Rattus norvegicus: one gene and its partner. The protein of the gene in region 1 interacts with the protein of each later gene in a pairwise test. Links are inferred from orthologs where the notes say so. Each region holds a gene or a part of one and is shown on either strand. Other genes may lie near its edges.

Region 1 (3,500 bases):
CACTGAGCTAAATCCCCAGCCCCAACCCCACTTTTCTAAAATTGAAATATTGCTGCTTTCGTATTTTGTTCTGATTTGTTTTTGAGACAGACCGTAGAGTGTAACTGTATAGTCCTGGCTTTTGTTCCAATTTGTTTTTGAGACAGACTGTAGAGTGTAACTGTATTGTCCTGGCTTTTGTTCCAATTTGTTTTTGAGACAGACTGTAGAGTGTAACTCTGTAGTCCTGGCTGGCCTGGAACTCTTTACCTAGACCAGTCTGGCCTTGAACTCACAGATAACCTCCTGCTTCTGACTCCTGAGTGCTATAATTGAGGGCAGGATCCACCATGCTTGACCTTACGTATTTCTAATCTTGTAAATTGTTCTTTTGATAAGCTCACCTCTTCCAAAACTCTAACACAGAAAGTTCTCTCATTGAGAATTTGTAGTGGATCCATCTTTGTTCCTCTGAGCCCTTCCATCTTTAGCTCTCTTCCTGTGGATATCTATGCTGCCCATTTCCTGGCTTTTGCACATGCTCAGATCAACGTCTTACCCTTACTCTCATCTTAACGGGGAATAGCTTTACAGTCTTCACATGTTACTTTTCTTTCTCAGGACTGAGTTTATTGCTGTTTATTTAATCTCAGGAGAAGTTGATTATTAACAACTAGGAAATTAGATATATTTACATTTGACTTATAGTTCATTGTGTATTTATTATATAACTTGAGTTTATTACATTTTTATTAGTTTATTGAGAAGTGGTTTGCTATAAAGTTAATAGTATTGCCTTTGTGCCTTTTAAATGTTGGATTTCTTTCAGTAACCTATATTATACAAAATTCTACTATGGTTAATAAAGATACGATTCAGTGATAACATTTGTCAGCATTTTGTCCTGTTATCTGAAGACACTTGCTAAGAGTATGTGACCTCTTTAGGAACAAAAAGTTGTATTTGTTCTTATATGCCTCAACGTTCTTCATGATACAAATCAATCCATATTATTCTAGAATAACTATAGTCTCAGACCACTAAAGGGTTTTTTTATTGTTTGTTTGCTTGCTTGCTTTTTGTCTTTGGTTTTTTTGTTTGTTTGTTTGGTTGGTTGGTTTTGTTTTTTGAAACAGGGTTTCTCTGTATAGGCCTGGCTGTCCTAGAATTTGCTTTGTAGACCAAGCTGGCCTCATACACAGAGGTCCACCTGCCTCTTGAATGTTGGGATTAAAGGCATGCACCACCACACCTGGCTTGAGTTTTTAATTTGTAAAATTATGTCTGTATAGAACCTATGAAGGAATCTTGGCACTCAGCCCAAGATTTATTTCCTTTTTCCCCCTTAGGATTTAGACAGAGCCCTACACTATCTAAGCATTTTTGGTCAAATGGCTGTGGTAAATTAATACACTGTTTTATAAGCCTGAGTCTCTCAAGTTTGTTTCCCAGAAAAGGGTGGGGTGGAGATGGCTTGTGGACACTGTGGCATGTCCCACTCAATGCTTGGCCAAGAGCCCACTGTAGGGATAACAGTGCTAACTCTGCCTTCCTCCTTTTCAGAAGAGTTACAATAGAAACAGCCCTTGCTTTCCATCAGAAGGGAAAAACCAAATGAGAAAGGAGACAAAAGGAGGAACCAAATTTATAGATACAGTTAATTTTTCTATGTGGGAGATGGGAAAGTATTACAAAACTATGAACATAAAACTCAGACTAGGTCCTGGAAGAATGGCTCAGTGGTTCAGCGCTCTTCTGAAGGTCTTGAGTTCAATTCCCAGCGGCCACAAGGCTGCTCACCACTGTGTAAATCTGTTTTCTAGTGTAAAGATGCAGACAAAAGTCCCCAAATATACACATACTCCATTAAAACAGACTCAGATGAACTGGACAGATCAAGCACACGAAACATGGACTTTAGATAACTGTGCAGTATATGATTAGAAAAAACTAATGCAATAAAGGTGGACAGCCTGGTGCAGTACAGGTGTATGCTGTGGGTGACCTGGACACCAGAGTCTGGTTGAAAGGGCATCACTGATCATAGCCCCAAGCAACGTGGGCAGGGGTGCTACATTCTGCCTAAGGTGTGGTTTTTTCAATAGGAGGCAAGGAGTCAGCCTTACAGTTAGAGTATTAGAAGGACATGAGGCAATTGGCTAGAATTAGTCACTTCTGCCACCCAGGAAGCTCGTGGCCTTTAACAGTGCTTCTAACAGTGCAGATTCGGGATCAAGTTAGTATGTGAAGTTGGAAGAAGCCTCATATGGAGAGTTAGCGTTTTCCCCGAGTACCCAGAGACACTTGTTAAGACTATGTGACCTCCTTGGGAAACAAATAGCTGTATTTGTTCTTACATACCTCAAAGCTCTTCGTGACACATGGATACTCAGTTGATATTTATCTATATTATCCAGAGTAACTGTAGTCCCAGAGCATTAGATCCTCTGGAACTAGAGTTCTGAATGGTTGTGAACCATCATGCAGTGTTGGGGACTGAACCTGGCTCTTCTTGTAAGATCAACAAGTGCTCTCACTGCTAAGTGTTTCTCCAGCTCTGGGTGTGGAAGCTCTTAGAAGAGGGAGGAGTTCTGAGCTTACACAGTGGTTTTGTACCACTGTGAAAAGAGGAAAACCATCAAATTGTATACTTAGTAAAGGTGAATATTTTGGTATGTAAATCTCATTTCAAAATTGCTGCAAAAATATTTAAAACCTAGACTAGAAATATGACTCAGTGGTAAAATATTTGCTTTGTATATGTGAGGAAGGGCCTGGACTATCTCCAGCACTGATAAAATAATTAAAAAAACAATAACATTATTACTTAGAACAGCCTTGTTTTAAATTGGCAGTGGTATTAAAAAAGTACTGATGGTGGTTATATAGCTATGTGTTTTTAGGCCCCCATGATTACTGTGTTATTAGTGTTACTATACAAACTATTCTGTAACCAATAATCCCATGTGCTTTCTTCTGTTGTAAAGGATTTGTATAAGTCCTTAAAAATACTGTCTGCAGAACTGATACCTTGGCATAATTTAAAGAAACCGAATGAAAATGAAGGTGTCAAAGTAGGAGATCTGTTGTTAATGGTAGATACCATGTTGGAAGAAGTTGAAAACCAGAAAGAGGTAACATTTGATACTTATATAATTGCTCTCATTTTAAAGGTTTATATTAACTACTTATTATTATTTCAACTTGTAAACTACCCTTTTGACCTTCTTTGTATAGACCAGCAGCATGCCAAACTCTCAAACTTTGCAAGCTATTGTTTCTCACTTCCAAAAGCTGTTTGATGTGCAGTCTTTAAATGGAGTCTATCCTCGAATGAATGAAGTGTACGCCAGGCTTGGAGAAATGAACAACGCTGTAAGAAACCTTCAGGAGCTCCTGGGATTAGGTGATGACCCTTTGTCAGTTGGGGCATTGATTTAAGAATTATTCCTGGGGCTGGGGATTTAGCTCAGTGGTAGAGCGCTTACCTAGGAAGCGCAAGGCCCTGGGTTCGGTCCCCG
Region 2 (4,190 bases), on another chromosome or scaffold:
CCCACCCTGGGCCTGGACTTTGACTGAGGATCCTACAGTGCTCAGCAAATGTCCTGAGAGCAGGCAAAAGTAGAAATGAGAATATGGGAGCTAGAGAATTATGTTATCTGGTGGAAGCCTCCCCATGGCACGGGACCCACAGAAAATGCCCAATTCATGTTGGCAAAATAAATATGATACGTGGTGAGGTTGCCCAAAGGGTGCCCAGAGAATAATCACACAAAATCCTCTAGTCTCACATGTTACAAGACTCCAGGTCCAATCCTCAACATGAAAAGGGGAAGAGGGAGGGGGTTGCCAAAGCAAGCTTAGGAAAACATAGGATACACCATTTCCAAGGGCCCTGGAATGAAGGGGAAGGGGGAGGGGGTTGCCAAAGCAAGCTTAGGAAAACATAGGATACACCATTTCCAAGGGCCCTGGGATGTGCTAACAGACGCTTTAGAGACACTGAATTTTCAGAGCAAGCTTTCTGCACTGGCTTTAGTTACTCACCCCTCATTCCCACCCCGCAATGTTACTCATCAGGAAACGGAGCCCAAGAGCCTTAAAGGTAGTGAGTATCAAGATTCATGTCCAGGTCTGTCTGACCCCACACCTGTGTGTTCCCTACCCCATGAGAGCTGCCCTTGTGGACACGGCCTGAGCAGTATGGAATATGAGGTATGTCCCAGCTGACTATCTACATCAGCAGGAGAGAAGGAAAGATAAACACAAGAGCCCCTCCCCCTCACTCCTGACATGGTTCTCTGTTCCTTCCTTCCGAGAAACCACAGCCATCACTTTTGTGTTGTGTTAATGAGGGAGAACCCTGATGCCAAGTCTGTGACTCTCACACCACCGTCCTGTCAAGATCCTGGACTCAGCTACCAAGTCGGAGGCAGCCCTCACCTTCCTGTCACTAAAGCTTTCCTACAGTGAGCTATCAAGTTTCCCCACAGAAACAAGGTCATCTAGCTAACTGTGAAGAATGAGGGGGAAGCTGAGGCAGAGGATATCCAGTTTGAACCCAGCTTGGGTTTCAGAGCAAGACCCTGGCTATTCAGGAATGAGAGATTTTCTTCTCCTCATTGCTTCAAGGTTCCTACAGAGAGAACACTAACACCCCTGTCCTTGAAGGCAACTTTGAAACTCTATCAACCGCCCAACAAACACTATCCAACAACCCATGTGGTCAGCTAAGCCTACGGACTCCAGTCTGTAATTTTTTTTTTTTTTTTTTTTGAGGCAGGAGAATGAAAGCCACCTCCTGCTGGGGTAGTAGGACCAGGCCAGCCTAGACTACAAGAGACTTCTGTCTCAAAAGAAAACAACCTAACAAGCTCCTTTCCTTTTAGAGGGTCCACCCCCATAAACGTTACCAACAACCCATCCTAGCCCCTGGGGGCAAAGATCTCAGCTTTGCTTAGCCTACCAGCAGTTCCCTAAAGGATTCCGCCAGAACAGGATCCACACTCCCTCAGAAAGACAGCTGCCTGGAAGGGGGGCAGGTGTAGGCAGCTTCCTGCCAGCAAAGCTCAACCCAGCAGAGCTGGGGTGAGGAGTGGGGGGCGGGAGGGCCGGGAGGGGACACTTCCAACTACTACTGTCAAATTCTCCCTGAACACAAAGAACTTGGAGACATTGTCCCCTGCTCCGGTTCTGCAAGAAGTCAGAGCCAGAACCAACATCCTCAGAGCGACGAGGGGTGTTGGAGAGGAGGCATCACACACCCACCCGGACACTTAGGGTTTCAGACAGCACCCTCTTCAAGTAGCAATGCACTCACTGTCGCATTGTTTAGCACAAACAAATACACCTCCTGAAAGCAAGGTGAGTCACAGCGCGCAGATATCTCTTCCTCAGGTACACCCAAAACTTAAGGATGCTGGCGCAGGTAAGTAATACCTCGCTTGAACTCACTGAGTGGGATGGATGTGGGTGTGCCTGGAGCCCCCTGACACGTGTGTGCACCGCGGCGCGCCCCTGGGCTGCCTGCTAGAGTAGAGTGCCTTGGAGTTTGGGAGCAATGGTCCATCACTTCTCACCCATAGGGCCCACGGCGTCTCAAACCCTGAGGACCTCTGCAGAAGGTCCAAGCAACACACCTCCCTTCTGTGCTCCCTTCTCCAGGCTGAAAAGTAGAAAAGGGCCTGACTGAGGCTCATCAGTCTCCAACTTCTAAAACTTCTGCCAGGCGACCTTGCTCTGTCCAGTCTCTGGACTCCGCCGCCCCCACGTGCCCCACTGGTCCCCTAGTGCTGCCCGAGACCATGCAGGACGCGGATGTCGCCCGAACTCAGCAGCCTTACCGGTCCCAGGGTTCAGGAGGCGGGGTGGGAGCGCTCGGCCGGCTGCACCAAGTCCACGCGGGGGGCCAAGTCTTCCAGCCGCGGCGACGGCTTCGGGGCCCGAGCGTGTAGCTGAGGCGGTCCCCACCCCCGGGGCCGGAGTTTGCAGAGGAGCCCGGTAGGAATGCGCGGAATGGGCGCTGGAATGAGACGCGCGCGGCTGGGGAGGGAGCGGAGGGAGTGGCGCTGCCACCCGCACCTTAGGGAGGAGACCCGGCCTGAGAGAGGCTGGGCTCCGCGGCTGGGCGGAGCCCGGGGGACCGCGGGCGACCACGGGACGGGGCACGACGGAGACACCCGAGAACCCCGCGGACCCCTCGGCGCCTCTGGCCACTCGTGCCCACACGCCTTGACTGTGATCTACGGATTTCCCGCTCACCTCCAGCTTCCCACATCCCCGAGTGGCATTGAATCCCTCCACCACCTCCTGCTAAAAACCGTCCCCTCCGCCGGGGTGGGGCGCGCCTCGCTGTGCTCCTGGAGTACGCGGACCGGAGCAGGAAGGGCTGTTCCCTTCCCCGAGGCTGCTACGGAGGACACTCGCTCCGGGAGCAGGAAGCAGGAACTCCCGGCTCTGCTCCCAGATCCGCCACCGCTTTCCCTCTCCAGCCCTCTCCAACATCAGCCTTTCAGTTCTTTCCTTGTCCCTTGGGATCTGCAGAACTGTCACTTCTCAGAAAGCAGGGAAGAAAGGGGAGACCCGTCATGGACTCTGTTGTAACTCCATGAATCTTTATCCTGTGAATAGGTCCACCGGATGCTGGGACAATAATAAAGAGTGGGTCCCAGCAGTGGTTCACAGAGAGCTGGAACTTAGCTGCTGATGACCCAGGGTCCGGGACAGCTTGGCCATGAAGTTAGAAGTCTGAGTTTCAAAGAAGTACGTCAGATCAATTTAGAAGAAACACGTGGGCTCGGGCTAGGAGTCTTAGAACCATTTGGCTTAAAGCAATTAGTTACTACCTCGCTCCGGCACTCACCTCTTCACTTTGGGAAACTTAAAATCAAAGAAAAGCCTTTGCTATTCCCCCCAAATCAAACAATCTCTGAAGCACTATCATTAAATTTTTATTGCCGTGGCTCTCCCAGTCTGATCTGGTGAAACAAACTCTGGAAGGCGGCAACTCTCCAGATCTATCTTAGCGTTTACCCAGCACGAACAACTCAAGATGGAGATGGAGGTAATAAATGAGGGAAGGATAGCCTGGGAGACGTTGAAAAGTAAGTGTTATAAATGCCAGGGTTGTACCTAAGAGAGGGGATCTAAAGAGTCTGCGGAAATGCCAGCATCATGGGACTGAGAATCCCGTCTTACAAAGGGAAGACTTTGAAGGATTGCAGCCCTCGTTTGGATGTATAAATTCTGGTATGCTTATTAAATAGTGAGTCATATCAAAGCTTGGGCACATCCCATTCGCATGAAAAGGACATCGCAGGGCAGCGTATCTGTGAGTGTAGAGTACAAACTGTCCCACCACTTAATCCAGCAGCCCTTCCTTGACTCCGCTGCCAAGCTAAGTGCAGAAGCCCCTGCCTTCAAGAAGTTCACGGTTGAAGCAAGACAGTAATTGTTAATGCAAATCCACATTCAAGAACAAAAACCAATGCAATTCAAGGCAAAGGGGCGACTTTAACCAGTTTGATGTCTACTCCCAGCCCTGTGTGTGCTAGGCAATGCTCTACCACCGCGCTGTGGCCCCAGCCTTGATGTGCTTTGGTTTCTGATCAGGTCTATTAGAGTTATTCAGGTTAACCTTGAACTCTGTCAGCTGCTCCTGCCTCAGCCTTGGGATAGATGACTCCATCTACAGTACGGGTCTTTGCTTACCACATCTGTGGGGCGACCTTGACTCAGCTCTT

Evidence for each region. The genes of interacting proteins can lie anywhere in the genome.
Region 2: the proteins of Cep70 (region 1) and Tead4 interact in a two-hybrid assay, tested with the Homo sapiens proteins (2 studies listed by BioGRID). The two-hybrid records come from large-scale screens. The link is inferred for Rattus norvegicus from reciprocal best matches to the Homo sapiens genes CEP70 and TEAD4.

The regions. Positions count from the first base shown.
Region 1 is NC_086026.1:108,734,707-108,738,206, forward strand, and holds part of Cep70 (centrosomal protein of 70 kDa), read left to right. Parts: intron 1-2,966; coding exon 2,967-3,113; intron 3,114-3,216; coding exon 3,217-3,385; intron 3,386-3,500.
Region 2 is NC_086022.1:163,255,543-163,259,732, forward strand, and holds the start of Tead4 (TEA domain transcription factor 4), read right to left. Parts: upstream 2,801-4,190; 5' UTR 2,292-2,800; intron 1-2,291. UniProt on the Homo sapiens protein: Transcription factor which plays a key role in the Hippo signaling pathway, a pathway involved in organ size control and tumor suppression by restricting proliferation and promoting apoptosis.